Drosophila melanogaster: one gene and its partners. The protein of the gene in region 4 interacts with the protein of the main gene of each other region in a pairwise test. Each region holds a gene or a part of one and is shown on either strand. Other genes may lie near its edges.

Region 1 (4,993 bases), on a different chromosome or scaffold from region 4:
TACACGCATATCATTTTGGCTGCCAGTCGGCCGATTGGAGCGGAGTCCAACATTCAACAGGTTTCATTTTGCGCATTAACAAATAATTATGCTGGCAATTGCCAAATCACGGACTCAGCCTGGCTGATATATAATCTGATTTTGTGCAAATGCACAAGCATCTAATGCCGCTACTGCAACGGCGACCCATAAAGGCCTTTCACTTTTACGCCACAGTGCAGATCTCACGCATGGCACCCGATCCAGTCACTGTTCCAGTCACAGATCCATTTGCAATCCCCGTTGGTATTCCACTCCACAATCCCACACCCAGCGTTCCGATAATCGATTTCGAGTGCGAAACTTGAGATTCGCAGCCCACGGTTATGCACCGCATCTGTTGCATCACTTTTCACCACCCCCAATCGCAGATAGTATCTATTTTTTCCGCCCGGTGATCACTAAACCATTGTCAATGACATCAAAGATGCCGAGAAATTCCAGAGAGGCAGCTTCCGTTTTTACCTGGTTGTTGCAGGAAGTGCAAAATGGTAACCCGAGTACCCCAAAGGTGGCAAGAAAACCAGAAAGCCTAATTATGACAGCAATAGAAATTGAGACATCACACTCAAATTACTATCTTGCAACAATGTATACTGATATAAAGCAAGTAACTGGTTACAAGTACAGTGAACTTTGATAAATGTTGCTTACTACAATATCAATTACAAAATCAAAGTTTAATGTAATTAATTGCCATTTTTAAAAGATCTGAATCCGGTTAAAAATTAAATACTAAAATCCGGAAAACATTCGGTTCGCCAAATGCATACAAAATTATAAGAAACATTAATTAAGTTATAAATCAAGTTACCGTTAAATCAAGTTCTACGATATTAGATCTGCTAAGTGAATTTGAGATTTATTAAACTCAAATGAAAGAAATTGCTTTGTTACACTTTTGTTTATTGGGCCACAAAATGTTTCGAAATAAATTTTATATTGAAATTATACAAGATTAAAACCAGATTACCCCTTTGAACAATTCCAGATTTATAGACCCTTTGTTTAAAATGCGAGCCGAACGTATAAATATGATACTAATAAGCAAGTTTTTTTTTTTTTTTAATTAATGGAATCAAAACAAAATCTAGTTGAATTTCCATTAGGTAGACTCAGAATTATTGATATTAGGAATCAGGTTCGACCAAAACTGCTGACTTCTGAAACTTGACAAACAAAACATAACGACTTTGATAGACATATGACCTTTCGTTGAAATCTATATTTTTGGGAACAACTTGCTAAGAAGCCCGAAGACTTTTTATCCAAATAAAACAAAAAAAAAACAAGAAAGGATTGCTAGTACGTTCTGCGGGATTTTCCCAATATAAATTTCAATTCAAGATTTAGTTAATTTATTTTATTTGCTTTTTATGTTCCCAAATTGATTTGATCACATTTGCACCCATATTTTATAAGCCACTTTCAAGTTGGCGGCTAAAGTCACCAATACACACAGAGAAAAGCCGCAATTGCGTGAGTATTGGTGGCATGCCAGTGTATTGGTGAGCGCTTCCGCTTGCAACTTTCCGTGCCGCACTAATACACACAAATATAACCAATACAAGCGCAAACCAAGCCGAACTCAGAGCTTTGAAGAGAGCAATTAGGCTGGTTTGTGGTGGGAAAAGCTTTTGGAAACCGCTGAGCGACTTGGTTTGGCGGTGTTTTCAGTTTCGTTTTGACACAAAAACTCTTTGGGGGTATAAAAGCGCGCCACTGACCACAGACAGCATCCAGTCAAAGGTTTGGAATCGCTAGTGATTCTACAATCCTTCCACAGTCTATTTCGCTGTTACTGAGTTGCTTGTAAGTGAAGCCAAATGCCAAGTTAATTTTTGTTTGTTTCTAAAATGCGTGTAGTCTATGTGAAACGGAAATAAAGTTTAAGCTGTGATCTAAAAGTTATAAACTAATAACTGTGCGAGCCGTGTGCTCTAAATAACTTCAATTTTCCAAGGAACATTTTCCCAAAGAACAGATTGTTAATACCAATTAAAGTGCTGATCTTATAAAAAAAAAAATATCTATGCTGCATTTCGTATAAATAATCTTATTGTTTTCTTTGTTTACTTACAGCCTTGGCAAGTCCCATTAGACTCCACAATGAAAGTATTCGTAAGTACAACAGACATATAGTAATTAGACATATAGAATTTAGTTTGATATGTAAATGGGTACGAGTATGTGAACTATCGCTGTTGGTAGCATATTTTAGTGTGAGAAATCAAGTAATAATTCAAAGAATTGCATACAGAACAATGCTGACATGAACTAATTGGAACAATATAGCCTTTTGCATTGCAAATGCCTCACATTGTTTACCTGGCCATCTTCAACAACAAACAACTTCCTGAAACAATTCAATCCGATAAATTTCCTTAATCAAAGGTGAAATGCTCGCAAACGACCAAATTCAACTTGAACGACATGGCTAATAAGCGTTTATTAACTGAACGATCATAATTGGAGTGCCAGCCACGTTTATTACCAGGCCGTAATCAACTGGGTTCATGTGCTCAATTAAAGCCAGCTCCAAATGCATTCGCTGAGTTGCCCACTGCGTATGCGTAACGTGACGCCAGTCGGTTGAGGCGTATTGCGGAAACTGGGCGTGGCAGTGGGCGATGACTGCACTGCATCATTTATGCCAGGCACGCACAAATTTCACTTGACCATTTGAATCGCGAAAGAGGGCGATGAGACAACGGACGACACAATGCGAATCGGGCCACATATCGCCTATCGCCTTCGCTTTCTATTGCGATTAGGTAATCGATCAAACTAGGCAATGGGTGATAAAAGTCAACGTTTTCGTTAGGCAATTTATGTAGGTTGCATATCTTGAATTGTTTTATCATAGAGAAGCTTCAAATACTTAAAGAATAGACTATACGAATTTCATGATAGATGAGTTTGCACAGTTGAGAATTCGAAGATAGTATGACTAAATTTTATTTCATTTCATTTTGAAATAGATTTAAACTATATTTGCAAGGAATCAAGTTCTACTTACTAACTTAGTTATTGTGAAATAAACTATTAAGAAATCACAAATATCTAGAATTTTGCTAGAAAATTAATATATTATTATTATTTAAAAGTCTCTAAAATGCATAGTTTCATAACCAATCGCACCAACTCAATTCTTTGCAGATCTGCTTAGCCGCTCTGCTGGTGGCCTCCGCCTGCGCCAGCAAAACCGAGGGTGAGAAGGTGCCGCTGGAGAAGAAGCTGGACAAGCGCGGCCTGCTCGATCTGGGCTACGGCTACGGTCATGCTGGTCTGGACACCGGCTACCTGGGACATGGTTCCATCTCCGGCCACGGAAGCTACGGACATGGCTACGGACTGACCGGATACTCCGCACCCGCTGCCGTCGCCGTGGGCCACAGTGGTCCCGCGATCGCCGTTGGACACACTGCTCCCGCCGTCGCTGTCCACCACGCTCCCGCCCCCTATGTGATCAGCAAGCAGGCCGATGTGCACAAGACCATCACCATCACCAAGGGAATCCCAGTGCCCGTGCATGTGGACCGCCCCTATCCCGTCGTCCATGAGAAGCGCGTGCCCGTCGAAGTTAAGGTGCCCGTGCCCCAGCCCTACGAAGTCATCCGCAAGGTGCCCGTGACCGTTAAGGAGTACGTCAAGGTGCCCGTGCCAGTGCCCCAGCCCTACGAAGTGATCCGTCACGAGAAGGTGCCCGTCCATGTGCCCGTCGATCGCCCAGTGCCCGTTGAGGTGCCCAGGCCCTACCCCGTGCCAGTGGCCAAGCCCTACCCTGTCTACGTGGAGAAGGCCGTCAATGTCCAGGTGCCCGTGCATGTGGATCGTCCCTACCCCGTCTACGTGAAGGTGCCCGTGGTGTCCCACTCCGTGGTCAAGCACGCACCCACCGTTGCCGTCAGCAGCTACCCTGTTAGCGCCATTGGCCACGATGCCACCGTCTACTCCGACCACCATGGTTACCACAAGTAAGCGGACGGAATGGACCGGAAGCAGGCGAATCTATTGGAGCGAGCGGACTTAATGGAAATGAGCCGAAGGATATCTAGCAACATTTTCAATTATCTTCCCCACTCTCTCCACCTGTCGGCCTTCCTTTCCAAAACCGAGCGCAGAAGCAAACTCTTAAAATACCCCCTGGAAGTCAAACTTCCGCCCTGCCACACTCTCTGTAGCTGATAAGAACCCCCAAGATGAAACAAGCAATGCCTTTTGTAAATTATTTCCAATCCAGCCATCCAATGGAAGCCATTGTGCTGGGCCAAGAACTCCAGGTTTAGGATAAATACCAGCTAACTGTTTGTAAATTTCGCCATTTATGAACAGTTTAGCTGGCCAAGTTTATCAGTGAAAGGTTTCGGCGCACAATGAATTGAATGGATAATAAGAACAGAAATATCTATGTGAAAATCTATTAAGGACAAATAAAATAAAATGTATAAAATAAATTTCACTGTCTTTATCACTGGTTAGCTGCTGGAAATAGTTTGTCATAGGGTTCTTTGTAATTGTATATCTTGTAAATATATTTTGTAAATAAAGAGTATGTTGTTATTAAACAGCTGTCGTTTTTGATTTGGTGGCTACTCAACATAAATAATATTTAAAAAATGTATTTTTACTAGACTTTTTGAGGATCATTTTCTGGAATATTTACAGCTCTCTAATAATATTTATTAAATAGACGGAATGGTTCAAAAACTTTATGTTCCGATCACTTTAATAAAAAGTTATACGAAGACCCTTTAATCTTGCAAGGTAACAAGTAGGATACCAGTAATTATTTCAAGCCAAGAGATGCGAATTATGCATACCTGTAATTAAGTACAGCTTAAGTTGTAATAAATCAATAATACTCAGTCACAATAAAAACAGATGTCTTGACGCCTTCCTGATCCTTAAACCCGAAAATCCTCTCACCAGTCAGTCAGCTGAGATGACATGA
Region 2 (5,738 bases), on a different chromosome or scaffold from region 4:
AATCCTCTCCCGTCTGGGTCGCCTGATGCGCTACACGGTGGCCTACGCGGCAATCACACACTGCACCTTCGAGTACATTGGCGATTTCGTCCTGGTAAGGCGTCTAGGATGAAGTTCCTGGGCGGGTATACTTGCCCAACATGTGCCAGCATCACATAGTTCGTGTGAATGCATTAAGGTACTCTCCACTTGTTTTTCCACCTTGTGTAACTTCCACTTGATATCCTTCTTTTGCGGAAAAGTACGTACACTCACATTAATGCAACCATTTCCAGTGCAAAGGACCCTCCATGGAGCCCACCCTGCACTCGGACAACGTTCTTCTCACCGAGCGCTTGTCGAAACACTGGCGAACCTACCAGCCCGGCGACATAGTCATCGCCATATCGCCCATCAAAGCCGATCAGTTCATTTGCAAGCGTATCGTGGCCGTTTCCGGTGATCAGGTGCTAATCCAGAAGCCCATTCCCATTGAGGCGGAGTTTAGTGGTAATTCGGATGACAAGAAGAAGCCCGTGATGGTCAAGGACTATGTGCCGCGCGGACACGTTTGGATTGAGGGTGACAACAAGGGAAACAGCTCGGATTCCCGCTACTACGGACCCATTCCGGTGGGCCTCATCCGGAGCCGCGTGCTCTGCCGCATCTGGCCGATATCCGAGGCCACGGGTCTATAGATGGCATTCGTACAACAAAGAGTTTAAAATCAACTTGACCCAATAAATGGCCTATGTTTCGTTTGGAAATTATAGTACATCAAACCACAACTTTTTAGAATCATTACGTATGCGAGTTTCGTCTCATTTGTGCGACTTCTGGTTTTTGCATATCATTGAAAATAAGTTGAAAAAAACAGGAGAGAATAATAATTTCTTTTCATTTTTGTTTTTAATAAACATATTTTTCAAAGTATGAAGCTTACATCCTTAATCCTTATTGGCTTACCTTCTAAGGAAGTATTTACCATGTTTGGGCGTCATATTCAAAATAATGCCATATTTTAAATTATTGGCGTTTCTAAAAATGGTATCAAAAGAAAAGCTTTTGTAAAAGGCTGTGTGAGCTTTAATTGATATATGCATATAATTATATACAAAAAAATTCATTTATTGACTACATTGTGAACATTTGAATGCGCAGTTGTGATGCTGCTGGCTTTTGGAAGAAAGGACTTTATAAAAATTGCACTAAGGATTTGGCCATTGCACCGACAAGTCTCACGAATTCTTTTTATCCTGCTGCTCCTGTGGCTGCTCCCGATCCACGTAATACAGATTGTATTTCTTCTTTAGCACCTGATGCACTTCGTCGCGACAGGTGAGGGTCAGGCCGCGCTTCTGGTAGTCCAAAAAGGTGCAGACGAACTGCCTGTTCGTCTCGTGGACCTGCGGATGCTTCAGATACTCCGCGATGGGCATCCACTGGATGCGCGCTATCTCGCGTTCGCAGCGCGTAAAGTCCAAATTCAGTGGCTTTAGGGCGATGACCACGTACATGTCGGAGCAGCCGAAGGTGCCGCCATGGGCATGCCGCAGACTGACCACTGAGCGGAATTCGGTGCGGATTCCCGTCTCCTCGGCCACCTCTCGTATTGCCGCATCGATGAGATTCTCCCGCGGCTCCACATAGCCGCCGGGCAGCTTCCAGCTGTTTGGTATCATTGCAAAACGATCGGACACCACCAGCACCTCGTCCTGTTCGTTGATAACCAGTCCGCCGACGCCCATTAGCGTGTGGGCGTAGGTGGGTAGGTTGCTAGACTCGTGCTCCGGCAACCAGCGGTACATGACCACCACACCGGTCTTGGCATGATGGAAATCAAAGCCGTTCTCCGCCAGAATGGGCACCCAATCAGCCTGCTCCTTGTACACGCGGAACCAAATGGCCCGGTTCTTGTTCGTCGTCCAAAAGTCCAGGGATTCTAAAAGGTATTTCGTTATTAATATAATTTGGTAATTGGTGACACAGATTTAATTAAAATTATAAGCCGTTTATTGTCTATGACTATTTATAGTCATAGACAACTTTTAAATTGATAAAAGTGGAGAGCAATGATTTTGGAAATTTAATTTAGTACCCCAACTTTAGATAGATAAACTTTTAATCAACTTATGATAGCACGAAGACTTAGAAGATACAATGATACAAAAAATATACGTCCAGGCAAAGATACCGACATATTTTAAGATATATATTCTTACTTGTGAGCTTGTCCCGGAAACTGGATTTGTCCACGTTCTCCTCGCGCCCATCGACTGTTACTCCGGCAAATCGATCCGTAATGCCGCGGAATACATCCGCCGGCGTGTCCATGGTTTTGGAGCTAAATCGTGGGATACAAATAGTTTTCAATCATGTGTTAAATACATATGTATGTACATCTTTCAATTCTTACGACGAGTATGCTCTTGTAAATTGCTGCTGTGACTGAAGCTTTAATGGAACTCTGGCGGCAACCGTGGATGTGGGTCGTTTTCTAGCGGTCCGGAGGAGTGTGCTCCATGAATTGAACGCCGGCTGGTTAAGTACGGTTCTGCGAGCCAGAAAACCGGTGGCCAACATTAAATAATCTCACAGTTCGACGAACACAACGTTGTTGATGACGACGACGGCGATCGACCACGTTGGCGTCACTACTAGTTCGCAACCGGAGATCTGGGTGCTGTCCGCTTGGTGGGCGTGGCGGAGGCGGTGGCGGCGACAACGACTTTACCGTCTCAGTTTATCCACAATGCGAGGTGAAGCCAATTCCTGGGCATGCTGTGTGTGTGTGTGAAACGAGGCAAACAGACAGGTGAAAGAGGTGAAATAGCCGCATGGCTCCAAACAACGATGCAAATCTGCTGCGATGGGCGGAGCAGAGCGAGACGGAGGAGCAGGTTGCCACTATCTGCCGCCGTCGCTAGATAAGCGATATGGCCGCTGTTACGTTCGGATTTCTGTTCTTGACATTTCGAATTTGGCGCTAACGTCAGTAACAAATAGTGGCGATAGAGATGCGCAGAACAGTGTGACTTTGACAGAAAACCGGTGACATGAGTATAATGAAACTAAAATATAGATTCAACTGAAAGTATCACTATATATGTACATATATATAAAAAACTGTGTTATCACTATACTAATACTAATACTAATATTAATGGCAATCACGATAGCAGTCACTGCTTCCTGCTCATCTCTAGCGCAACCTTGAGCGACAACCCAAGGTGCGTGTGGGTGGTGGGTGGCGGTGTTGGGGTGTGGGGTCGTTTCAATTGTTTCCGCATGGGTTTTGTGTTTGTTTATCAACTGAATTGCTGCTGTTATCAACGCGCCAGAGAATTGATACGCGTTTTACATAACAAACCAAGCCAAATATATTTTTTTTTATTCCATATCTGCGCTAGAATAGAACATTGTGTGGAACTCGAACTCACTAGAAAAGTCAATGGCTAATGGTGTCACTGAGCCAATCCGTCCAGTTCCTCCAGACGACTAATTACAGATCCGATCCAATGTAGCCATGGACTTTGGCATAAACAAGCGAATAGAGCAGCGCGCGATTTCAATTCGCTTCCACTTCCACTAGCACGTTAATTTCTAGGGATGGCGCGCACACAGAAAAGTCAGTCAGCTGATCCGGCAGTGCTGCCAGCCTGGCTAGAAAAAGCTGTTCAGCCTTATATGTAATGGTTAAAAATCAAATATGAGCAAACCAACATTTTTTAAATATATGGCCTCCGGAACAATTTATTAAATCTTGAAATAGCTAATATGGGTTATATAAGTTACTGGCTAGCGGCTTGGCTAATATATCGAATGTTTCCATCCTTTAGATGGCCAAAAGAGCTTAAGTTCGCTGGTCGTCGGCTTCGTTGCGGGAAAATTCGCTGCTGTCATCGCTATTTATCGCGCTCTTGGTATGCGTGCAGTCCTTCCTACAATAATATAGTAATAGTCACAGTCAATGCCAGGAAGGACAATGCTGCATAAGTAGTAGCATAAGTAATGATTAATTCAATTGGGAAATTTTTGATGAGTACGCAAAACATCTAACGCTATTCTAATAAGAAATGCGACCAGCTTTAGAATTAACATTCTGATTAGCAGAGGGTTGAAGTCGTTCTTAAAGACGGCTAAAAGTAGACTACAAAATATTTAAATGCAAGAGGAATTCAATAATCCTAGAACTTAAACTAAGCTTTTCAAATTTGAATGGAAATGTGGAATAAATACCGTATATGTAGCATTCGATGCCGATCTCCTAGTCTCTATCTCTAATCGGTTCGACGTGGCCACGTTCGGCCAGATGCAGCAGATCCTCGATGCCCTGCCTGCGGAGCATGCGGCGATGATTCTTGAAGAACGATATCACCTTCTTGGACTGTGGAGCCCGCATCCGTCTCTTGACCGTCATCGTTGGTCATCTTGGAGCTACTGTTCCATTTTTAATTTTTTCGCCTTTTTACTTTACTTGAATACGAAAAGAAACATATCTGTATAAATCGTTTTAATAGGCCAATAGGTGCCTTCAAATTCTATAGTTGAGATCCTTTGAAACTTTATTTTCATATATAACTAAATATCCTCTTTGGCTGCGCGCCCAGTTTGGCCCATTTCTCTCCTCTTCACTTATTTTATTTTATTTAATTTGATTTTTTTTTTTTGAAATCGAAATAGTTGCGCAATTGAGGGCGAGTCCTTTGTGCGAGTCCAGTGATTTGGAAAGGGCTATTTAGAGCAACAAAGCGCCAGCGACCAGGAATCCTGGGGAATCAGGAACCAGTTAGCAGTTTAGAGCGCGATTGAAGGGATTACGAGTAGAAAGGATCGTAAATGTGTTGCGAAATGCACATTTAAACCGTGACTCACCAGGGGGGTGGTAGTTGTGTGTGTGTGGGGGGGGGAGGTGTGTGTGTGTGTGTGTGGTGGTATGTCCTTGTGCCATAAATTCAGGTGCTTCAGTTGGACAACAATGGTACTCGTTGAGTTTCGCCTGATGTTTGTATTTTGATTGCCGGCTTAGCAATTTTCAATTTCTTTTTGTTTTTTGGGGGGGAAATTCCCAAAAAAAAAAAAATATGCGAAGAGGGAGTACATAAAAAAGTTACCCCTCTCCAGCGGGCGATATTTGCTCAGTTGTTTAAACAAATTTTCCGCTTAGGGTTGCTAACCAACCTCCTGTTTGCACACAATGGATTTCCATGCCGTGGCTTAAGTGAAAATGCCATCTCAAATATTTATTAAAAAATCTATGGCTGTTTGGGGACACGTACATATACACACATATATATATATATATATATCTATTTTCCATCGCCGGCTTATCGAAAACTTCAACTCCAATGTCGAAGTTGGTGGAAAATCGGGGTTATTAGGTTCCCAGGCGCGATCTTCGTCAACCCTTTTCTTTGTATTTCCTTCACTATTTTGCGCGCACCCGGAAAATTCTTGTTTGTAATTAGGGAGTTTTCCTTATCATTTATACCCGTAATGCCCTCGGCATTCAGCATTGTTTCGCCGCCAATTAAGCGTAATTTCAAGTGTCCCGTTCTCGTATTTGTCTAATAAAAGTTTGAAAAACTCCTAGGAAAACTGGTTGGGTTCGCTAACGAACTGTTTATATTCAGACAATGGTTTGGAAATTGAAATAAATTAACGTCGATTTTTCCCCATTTCCAGTCGGTGGGTGTGTGCCTTTGCCAGCTGAAGGCATCAGGTTTTTCTTTTTATTTTTTCTTTTTTTTTTGTCACAG
Region 3 (4,491 bases), on a different chromosome or scaffold from region 4:
AATAAAGAAATGGTTACAATTTAAGGAAACAAATGTCCTTCTTGCGTTTGAAACAACTAATCCTTTTCGCCCTCGCGGCGTTTCTCGAAAAGGGCCAGGAAGATGCCATCGGTAAGATCACTGTCCGGCTGGCAATACAGGACGTTCTTGCCAATATTGGGATAGTCCTTGTCGCCCACATTGTGCCACTTGTTGCGCAAGGCCTTCTTGCAGCTGAGCAGCTTGAAGGATGGATTTAGCTGAAGACAACGCTGCACCACCTGCTCGTTTTCCTCCTTCCACAGCGAACACGTGCAGTAGGCAATGCGTTTGACGTTCGGAAAGGCGCCCATCGCGTGCGACAGGATCTTAATTTGCAAACCCTGCAGCTTTTGCAGCCGCTTGTCCTCCTTCGGCTCGTCGCACACGGTCATGCGGTTTTGCATTCCGCTGCCAGAGCAACTAGGGTCCACCAGGATGTACTCTACGTCCGGAAAGCGTTCGGGTGCTGAAATTCAAACGTGTTACTTTTTTAAATATTCATTGTGAAATATATAAATATAAAACTCACTTAGGTTCAAGGCGTCTCCCAAAATGGGTTTTACAATATCGCAACCAGCATCCTTTGTTATTTCGCACAGCGTATTGTAGCGTACGTGGTCCTGCTCCACGGAGTAGATGCATCCCTTGTTCTGCATCACATTGCATATGTGCACTGTCTTCATACCGGGAGCTGCGCACATATCCAGCACAGTGGCCCCAGACGGCGGAGCAAGTAGTTCGGCGGCCAAACAGGTGGCCTTGTTCTGCAGTATAAACCTCTTGCTGTGCACCAACGGATGGCGGACCCAGTAGTTGGACCACTTGGCAGGAAAAATGAGCACACCCTCAACGTGCAGATCGGTCATGAACTCGTTCTCCGCCAGCGATTTGATGGCAGTCAGAAAATCCGCATAGCTGGCGTCCGCAGGCAGCTCCTTGCGCCGCCAGTCGCTTTTATGCAGGTAGTCCAAGGCCTCCGCCAAGCTGTATAGATTTGTGTTGATGCGCACATATCGAGGATTGGGTTCTGTGTGGGCAAACAAAAAGACGAGTTCAAAATTGTAGCCAAAGTAAGATTTATTAAGAGTTGTTAAGAGTCGTTACTGGTCCTTTAAACGATCGAAATAATCTGGACTTGGCTGGCAGCACTTAAGTTACTGTTCTTTCTTTGGCTCCGCAGCTTCCGGCTCGTCGTCCTCATCCTGCTGCACGGGTTCCAAGGGTGGTGGGGGCTTCTCGCGGAAAGCCTTTAATACATACATGGCCACCACGAGGTTAACAACCACAACAGCCGTGAGAACTGACCAACAGTTGACCGTGAAAAGGTCCAAATGGGGGAAGGACTCCTGCAGCCAGCTGCGGACGCCATAGAAGCCCAAGAAGGGCAGCGTGAACATGAGCACACTGTAGGCCAACAGCCAGAGGAAGACCTCCGCACTGGTGTCCTCCTGCTGCGTATGATGCTCCACGGGAGAATCAATGACAGCCGGGGAATCATCAGTGGTAGCTGGCACCACATCGACATGCTGTTGTTTCCTGTTCTTCTTGCCCATCTCAGCCGGCTAATACTGGTAATCGGTGTGATAACCTGCCTTTTCGCTGGACACCGAAATCTCTGATGGAATTTAGCAGTCGATCCTTGTAACTTCGCACCGTTTGCACGGGTTTGCTTTCGCCGTTCAGCTCCTTCCTGCCAAACAGCAGTTCGGTGACTAGAATCTTGGCCAAACTGGGATCAAAACTGGGATTGTCCCTGAGCAGTCCTGTCTCTTCGATGGCCTTTTCCAGTGCCACACGATTTTCGCTAAATTTTTTCAGAACCGTATGCAAAGAGCGTGTACGCTACAAGTGAAGTGCGAGAGGGAAAAGTTATACGCATATTGGTTTGATCTGCGGACGAGAGGTCCAATCCACTTACGGCATGCTTCTCTGCAAATATTAGGGTCTTGATGCACTTCTGCTGCTCCAGTGCCGCCTTCAAAATCTTGGCAGTCGCCCTGTATTGGGTGGGAACTTTTATGGAATGCGGTTTTTTACTCATTGTCGTCACGTGCACGTGTATGTGTTGTTTGCGCTAGAATAGGTGCAACCCCAATCACGACTTTATCGATATATGCTTATCGAATGTCAGGGCTGGAGATAAGCATGTGGCGTTTGAAACAAATCATATTGTTATTCATGTTTTGAAAATATCTACAATTAATGTAAAGGTTGTTCTAATTTTGCCAACGATAACTACAAAACATATATGTTCTATCCAATATATTTACATACAGGGTATCAAATTTACAAATAAATTGGCAGTGTGGCCATACGTTGCGAGCAAAAATTACTGTACTTCAAGCATTGCCAACACAAGAATATTTTCATGGTTAAAAATTTTGGCGCGATAAAGCCGCAGTTTAAAATGTCAAAGTGTGCGCGTTCTTGGAGGTTTACCAAAATTTAGAATCATGCTTTTATTTATCGTGCATAAGTTGGTAAATTGGAATTAAATCAAGTTTTTTCCAATTTGTTTCTGGTGTGTCGTTTGTTTTGGGGTCTGTACGGCTGCTTTAATTAAAAAATATTAAAATGAAGCACGCTATTCTTTAAGGACTTTAAGGAAACGTACCTTTCTATGTTTGCCCAGGAGTTGATAGACGATATCAAGGCTGAGGATCGCATCCTACAATGTCCTTGGTGCGAAGAACAGACGTTGAGTCCATCAGCCAGCACCCGGAAACTTTTGTATTGGCTTTTAACGCTTTCAATTCGACTTTCAGAAAAGAGTCTCCTCGAAAATCACGACTGATATCCATGTAAATGAATCGGTAGATACTTGCACTTTCTTTTTAGTTATTAAAACTGACACACTGTCACTTTGCAGGTTTTAACCGCTGGCGGAAATGAAGAAGGAATCCGGGAATATTCATTTCAGTCCATTGTGGTGCACAGCGGAACTCCCCTCAGGAACAATCTTAGCCCACTAAACATCAATAAACTACTAAAATAACTTTGACTGCTGCTTAATTTCAAATATACATAAATTAATATTTTTTATTTTTAAGTTAAATTTTTTAATTCTTTTGGAGGCTCAAATTTTATATTTGGCGCAGCACTTTAATGTAGAAAATGTGAATAAAGAAATATTTCAAGGGTAAACAACAAAAAATGTTTTGATTTTGTAAAAAAAAAAACCTTAAAAATTATGAGGAGTTATAAAATAATTATCAGTTTCCGGAACTTTAAAATTCTTATCTTCAATTTGATCTTCAAGACATATTTTTCTTATAATAATATTATCAATAATATTATATAATATGTAACGGATATTTAAGTTCTTCATTTTCTTTTTCAGAAGTATTAACAAATGCATATATATAAATACATATATATTTATACAATAGAATCGCATAGGCATGAATTCAGCGCGCAAAATAATATAATTACAATAACATTGATATTATATAATAGATTATAATAATATACATATGTAAGTGTAAGTTATAAAATGGTAACAAAGTTCAACAGCTCATAGGCGAAGATCCAGTGGCACGGAATTTTCAATACAGCCAGGAGAACATCCTAATATTTTGGATAAACTCTTTGTGCCACTGTTCCGGGTGATGTGCATCATGTCCAGCACGGAGGACCTTATGTACCACTATTGCTGTTTCCTAGATTAGGATTCGCTAAAAGCTTAAATTGTAATTTCAGATTCCCAAAAATAGAAAATACCGCCAAAAGTCAGGGCAATGGCACTGCAGAAAGGATGCAGGATATTATATGTTCTTTTTGTTTTTCTCTCCCCAGAATTTGGCCCAATTAAATTTGGTATTCGAAAAAAAGAGCACGCCTCCTCCCCGAAACCGAAAAAAAACTCTGTGGCGCCGGGAACAAAAAAGAGCGCGAGAGAGTGAGAGCGCACACATAAAAAACATAAACAAGCCTTTTTCACTAGTGTGCGTTTGTGCGGAGAGAGAAGAGAGCGAAAAACAACTTCTGAAAAAAGACGCTCTTCGCTGTGATTTTTTTTCAGTCAGTTTTTCGACGGTCGTGAACACGAACAGTTATTCTAGCTCCTCCTGTTCTGCTGCTTCTGTTGGTGTTTTTTTGCGTTTGCCGCGACGTAAACAACCGAAGAGCGGAGCTTACGCCCCCAACTGCTCCAGCTCCACGCCCCCCTCGCAACGTGTTCGTTGTAAATGCAATTAATCGTTGTTGGTCGCTGAAAAAACTAATATTTCGGGAGTCCGATACAAGAAGGGCAAAAAAGCACAAGTGCAGAAAAAGCAAAAAAAAACATAAGCTTGCCGTGTGTGTGCGTTGGTGTGTGTGTGTATTTTTGGCGTGCGCGGCCATTTTTTCTTGTTGCCACTCGAGAGTCTCTTCTGTGTGCGAAAGAGAGGCCCGACGGCAAAGCAGAACGTAGCAAACTACGCAAATCCCCACTAAATTCGCTAATTTTCGCTAAATAAATCAATCGCA
Region 4 (5,902 bases):
ATGTGGCTGCGTTCCTGCAAGGAGCAGCGAACACGCCGAAAGGCAGCCACGTCCAGACGCGAGATGGCCTGCTCCAGATCCCTGAGGCCGCCGTGCAACAGTTTGCTCGATTTGGAGGAAGTGCCGCTGCCAAAGTCATTCGCTTCCACCAGGGCGGTCTTCAAGCCCCGCGTGGCAGCATCGAGAGCACAGCCGGAACCCACGGCGCCGCCGCCAATGATGAGGATGTCGTAGTGGGTTCGCTTAAAGGCCTCCAGGCACATCTTTCGCGTGGGCAGCTCCCGTTTCATCTGTGGCACTGGAGTCGAGTCCGCTTGCCTTTCATCGAATCCAAAAGCGCCGTGGCCCAGCTTGGAGCTGCCCAGCATCACCGCCATTTGAATGATCTTGGCCATGGTATTACCCCCTGCTTTACACACCAAATTTGGACTATTTTTGCGTGGGTCAACAATATATCTGACATCTAACGAAAGCACAAAAATTTGGACGGGTGTTTGCTTGCTTTTGGAAATATGTTTAATGTACATACATGCGAATAAAAACTTATCGTTTTCGTTCCGTGCCTCAAATGTTGGAATATCAATGGGATAAATTACTTTTAGAGTCTAGAACCGCCGTCTGAAGGAATTACACGTGTAGAGGGTTGTACAAAAACGCCAAATGCCAAAAATTATCGTTAAAACTTAGCACAAATTTACTATAAAAAGCTTTCCCGCTCCACTGTCCCGCTCCTCATGTGACTCTCGGGCTCTCCGTTTGTTGATTAACTAAGCGACTCCGGAGCGGGCTGGAAAGTCTCTGCTGGGCATTGTGGCTCCTCCTATTGCTTGGCACCGCCAAAGAAGAACTTGTAGAAGAGCGTGGCCACCAAGCACAGGACGAGGGGCACCAGCCACGACTTCACAGAACTCTCCTCGGTTTGCTGTTCCGTGCTCCAGGTCGGCTCCGACTTCTGGGCCACGCTTGTCCTTTCGCTCTCCACCAGCTCACCGATTTTGTACTTCTTCATCATGTCGCGGGCATCGTTGCTGTGGCCAACGTCCTCAAAGTTCTCCGTGGCATCTTTGCCGGCCTGCTCGATGAGCACCTCTTCGCCACCGGGATGCTGTCGTGAAGGAAAAGAGACAGATTAATATATTCGCATAAATAACTGTTGGCTGATCTTGGATAAATGCTAATGGACGTCTGACCCTGAATTTCATGGACCAGACAGCAGAGGGTATGGTATCAAGGTATAAAGTCGGGAATGCTTCGAAACATTCGTTTATGCGGAAGCTTTATGGTAATATTTTATACTTCCGTTGCGTTGAAAGTAAAAATATCACAACTAATTTCAGTTACAGATTTAATTTGGCACTTATAAGCCAATAAAGTTACAGAAACTTTGATCCTAAGAACTCGAGCGAAGTTACGTTTTGATTGTACCATTATAATAATGTTGAAACTTTGTACTATAGCTTAGAGTCATGCTGAAAAAGCCGCGGAGCAAGTATGATGTAATTATTGTTATTAATTACTATTAAAAGCAAACAAGTTGTTTCGCCTCAATTGTGCTGAGTGATAAGCTAAAGTAATTTTAGCCAAACTCTTCAAGGTGGCCGAGTGCAATTGAATCGATGATAAGCGTATCTCATAATTATTTTCACAATTCTTTAAACTTTTACATAGTCCAACTTAGCCTTATCTAATTTCGATGATTATATTGTAATTACTGTGTTGGTTTATATATGACAAATCGGAACATACATATGCAGGAAACACATTGAATAAGATTCGTCAAAATAAACTGATCATGTTGAATAAATAACGAATAAACACGTAAAAAATAATCTTTAGATCCAGCAAACGCTCTAAAATCTGGAAGTCTAATTTGCGATTTGTCTGGTGATGCTGTTACGCAGATAGCAAGGTAACAGTAGCTAATGTTATTCCTTAAGATGGAAGAGGACCAAGCGGATCAGATTAGGGGCATGTTTTAAACATGGACTGGGGATGGCTGCGGTCGATAGGCGGACTGAAACTTTGGAATGGAATTATAAATTAGATGCTTGGTCACTCTCACTATTGTTATTTTCAGCGTGTACCTAAAGTGCAACGTCATCGTTAGATCGGAATTTTCACAGAGCTTATCTTAGATCCCGCAGATAGCGGGAATGCTTGTGTAGTCTATATGTATAGATTTGGTGATGACCCTACTGCTGCGTCAGGGTGATACACTTTTCGGAGCCGGCGGCAGTCGGTTTGTCGGTGGTGCACTTGCATAAGAATCCGAATTCAAATCGGAGTCCGTTAATCAAATGAGATGCAAATGCAGACGCGGATTTCGCTTAACACTTGACCCTCGTCGCCCATCACACACATATATACATGTATGCAAATGGATAGTTTCGCCATGTGGAGCTCTTTCGACAGCTGGGCGAAAGTGGCTGCTGGAAGTTTCGACGTCGCAGCAAATCTGCGAAATCCGGACGCAGGTCAAACTACCGTCCGGGGGTCAAAGTACAGACCTAATTGCCCCGCGATGCAAGTTAGAGTCGCTACATGTGGCTACGTGGGCTTGGGCTTGTGCTGGGGCTGGGCCCATTAGCTCATCGGGACAAGTGAAACCCAGATAAGGCCCAATAGCAAACGATGACCCCCATTTAGTGGTGGGAGCGGGTGCGGGGCGGTGGCACTCAGCTGCGACGTGTTCCGTGCGATTCTCACCTCGTTGAGGAAGGCGGTGACGTCGTAGATGTTGTTGTGTATGAGCAGCCAGGTGTCCTTGTTCGTGTTGTGCTTGGCGACCTCGGCCCGCGTGAAAGTCTTTGTTTCCTCGCTCGACATGGTGATCACTTGTTGATTTCTACTGCGCGTTTGATTTGTGTCACGGAAAAACTATTTGTCCAGCCTCGCACTCTTCCTCCAGGGCGCACGGTCTCACAGAACTGGTGGCCGGCGGTCACACTGGCGCGCAGCAAGATGGCTTGTTTACACCAACGCCTATCGATATCGAATAGTGACCGTTTAGACTAGCCAGATTGTTTGTGGTATGAGCACATATTTTATTATAATATATAATAGCTTATAACTTATTTATCTAGCTTATAATTTGTTTACAGCACCCAATACACAATATATCGGATTTGGAGCGGTGGTTATGCGATGCGATTGTATAGTGGATCACGGCTATTTTACCATCGACATGTAAAGAATACTGCATACTTTTGGGCGCGATAAGACCAGTGCTCCAAAGCACCTCATTAATTTTGGCGCCCAATTTGAAATGTGAGAAAACCCTTTAGTGAAATAAACGATTCAAATGAAATGTACAAACAAAATTCGTAAGCAAATTTATTTTGGGCAGACCATTTCATTAATAAAAATGTATTTCGAGCGGTATCCCAGCGAACTGGTTCCACCAGCGACGAATGCGCAGACTCGGATCTTGTATTTACACTCAAGCCCTGCCTTTATTCCATACTCGGCAAAGGAGACTTCAAAGTCAAACGTATCCTGCTGTACGCCGTGCGGCTGCGGCGCTCCTTCAATAAAAACAGTCGACACGCATTGTGAAGAGTTTTCCAAAAGCTACAGCGCTGTCCAATAGCGCAATTCAAGTTAACAACAAACTAAGCATAAATATATTGATAAGTGACGGCGGGTGTGCTTTTGATACGCAGCGCTTTTAGCTTTTTTACAAAGGTAAGTTCCTTATTACGCAATTGGCATCCTGGAGTGGCCTACGTGCGGTGGCCATTTTCTTGGGTCCGATTTCCTTTCTCTGGTATACATCCACCACTATGTTTCCTTTTCCGCTTCGCTGATGCGTAATTCAAGTGACGGGATTTATGCGTTAAAAAGTTATTAAGTTTTGCCAACTTCAATCATGCCCTTGGATCCCGATTTACGCGTGTTCTGGAGCCCCGTGGGTAAACAACTCTTATGGGGGACAATCCAAAACTGAGTCGAGTGGCCCGTAAATCATTCAGATTGTTTGTGTCTTCGGGTTATCAGCACCTGGAGATTTGACTGGCCAGTAAACACTTACCAGCCGGGGGATACCTGTGCAAGGTGTTAGGAGAAGCACCCAAGCTCTGGATTTATGTATCCATTGCGGGTTATATGCGATATTCTTGGGGTAGGCGTAATGTGATTGATTACTTGTCAGAATAGTGGAGTATAATGCCAAAATTAGGTGTGGGTTTGGTTTATATATAGATATAGTATACTTATTATAACCCATTTAAACGCAATCGACGATTGTAAATTAGTACCACACACGCACTACTGGAAAACAAGAAAAACAAAGTCGGAAACTCAGATCTTGATTGCGATCGAAGGCATTATTCTCACTCACACAAAGGCTCTAAAAATAGCCCTGTTCCTGCATATTTTTTACACCGAGAGTTCACTTCGGTTGGCCGCCAGCGATTCAATTAAATTTTATGTCTCATTGCTGCATAATTGACGACATTTTCCGTTTCGGGCGGGGAAAAGGTGAGACAGTGGTCAACATTTTCCTGGCGCGACAGCACCACTAAATTTGCATTGCCAATCCGTCATTAGACTCGATTGATTCCGCCATTAAATACAATTGACTAGAATTGACGAACAAATGTTTTCAATTCAAGCGCAACAAAAAAAATGAATAAATAAATAATTCAGTAAATATTTTTCTTGCTCGATGATCTTTTGATCCGTACATCGAATGGGGAGGGGGGGGGGGTGGTATATCTTCGAGGGACGGATTTTAATTGGTCAGAAAAAGAGTTCGTTCAGTCGCTGTTTTTAATTGAACACATACTGTTTTTAATTGTGGCTTTTGCGAATTTCGTTCAACGAATTGTTATGTCACTTTCGCTTTCACCTTCGACCAGATTAAGGTTAAACAACTTAAATATCGCCACGAAGTCTTAATGTTTATAAATGTAAAGTGAAACGATGATAAATCTTATCTTATTCTTTGTTGTGTTTTTGCAAGAAATTTCATTGTTAATGATTTAATATACATATTTGATGTTTGCATATGGCATATGTAAGTTAATAATAAGTAAATGTGTACTTATTCATTGATATAGGGGTTGTTAACACCAATAAGTAACTTGTTTTGACCATTTTGCTGAAGTTCTGCCTAATTATGAAAATAATTCTTCTCAGTGTTTGAGGCTGTTGATTAACCCCAAAAAGTAATACATACATATGTATAAATGTAAATATATACATATATGTATGTACGTACATACATTTTTTGGTAAGGATGCAAATGTGTAAAACGTAACTGCGTAAATGTAAGGCGTATTTATAGCGGCTTATTTACGCATTGTTGTTGTGTGGGCCGTACAAAGAAGAACAACAAAGCAGAGGAAGGATGCCCATTTATGCATTCGTGCTGCGCCAAGGAGCGAGCGAGACAGAGAGACAAATTGAGTGAGGGAGAGAAAAGAAAAACAACGCGCTCCCTCTCTCACTCACTCACTGTCTGGGCATGCCACTCAGGCGTGATTATCATGCAGCGAGCACGTGTACATGACTTTGGTTTTGTTTTGCTTGCCGCTGCCCCCTCACCAACGCCTATCAGTTTCTTCTCAACGTTTCATTACCATGCAAACATCCACCGTTCCTCGCTCCGCAAACACAAGCAACAACAATCGCAAACAGTTAGAGGTGCGCACACACGACATACGTAGATACACAGATGCATACATAGATACAGCAAGCTAACAGTTTGATGCATTGATTGAGATAAAGATACAAAATGAGAGTACCGACAAAAATAATTTTTCTTACCAAAAAGAAGATATGTAACTAGATTTAGCTAAATACCCAGAACCTGAAAAGCTTAGAACATTCGCTTTCATAAAGTAACACTGTAAGTATCTATCTATCTATACACCATGCATATGTAAGTTGTTTGTTTATT

What was found.
Region 1: the proteins of Cyt-b5 (region 4) and Vajk3 interact in a two-hybrid assay, tested with the Drosophila melanogaster proteins (one large-scale study listed by BioGRID).
Region 2: the proteins of Cyt-b5 (region 4) and CG8128 interact in a two-hybrid assay, tested with the Drosophila melanogaster proteins (one large-scale study listed by BioGRID).
Region 3: the proteins of Cyt-b5 (region 4) and CG42359 interact in a two-hybrid assay, tested with the Drosophila melanogaster proteins (one large-scale study listed by BioGRID).

Annotation. Positions count from the first base shown.
Region 1 is NT_033779.5:13,944,256-13,949,248, reverse strand, and holds Vajk3 (Vajk3), read left to right. Parts: upstream 1-1,772; 5' UTR 1,773-1,851; intron 1,852-2,121; 5' UTR 2,122-2,148; coding exon 2,149-2,160; intron 2,161-3,198; coding exon 3,199-4,020; 3' UTR 4,021-4,493; downstream 4,494-4,993.
Region 2 is NC_004354.4:15,695,345-15,701,082, reverse strand, and holds CG8128 (uncharacterized protein), read right to left. Parts: upstream 3,590-5,738; 5' UTR 3,420-3,589; intron 3,051-3,419; exon of another isoform or gene 2,761-3,050; 5' UTR 2,563-2,760; coding exon 2,396-2,562; intron 2,324-2,395; coding exon 2,202-2,323; intron 1,922-2,201; coding exon 1,218-1,921; 3' UTR 1,049-1,217; downstream 1-1,048. Other genes in the region: CG9240 (uncharacterized protein), read left to right, coding at 1-94, 276-677.
Region 3 is NT_033777.3:19,160,177-19,164,667, forward strand, and holds CG42359 (uncharacterized protein), read right to left. Parts: upstream 2,125-4,491; 5' UTR 2,063-2,124; coding exon of another isoform or gene 1,940-2,062; intron 1,864-1,939; coding exon of another isoform or gene 1,614-1,863; 5' UTR 1,575-1,613; coding exon 1,176-1,574; 3' UTR 1,083-1,175; downstream 1-1,082. Other genes in the region: Nsun5 (Nop2/Sun-like domain containing protein 5), read right to left, coding at 57-487, 551-1,048, 1,614-1,863, 1,940-2,062.
Region 4 is NT_033778.4:7,530,535-7,536,436, reverse strand, and holds Cyt-b5 (cytochrome b5), read right to left. Parts: upstream 2,932-5,902; 5' UTR 2,827-2,931; coding exon 2,707-2,826; intron 1,429-2,706; coding exon of another isoform or gene 1,342-1,428; intron 1,106-1,341; coding exon 821-1,105; 3' UTR 501-820; downstream 1-500. Other genes in the region: Gpo2 (glycerophosphate oxidase 2), read right to left, coding at 1-395. UniProt on the Drosophila melanogaster protein: Cytochrome b5 is a membrane-bound hemoprotein which functions as an electron carrier for several membrane-bound oxygenases.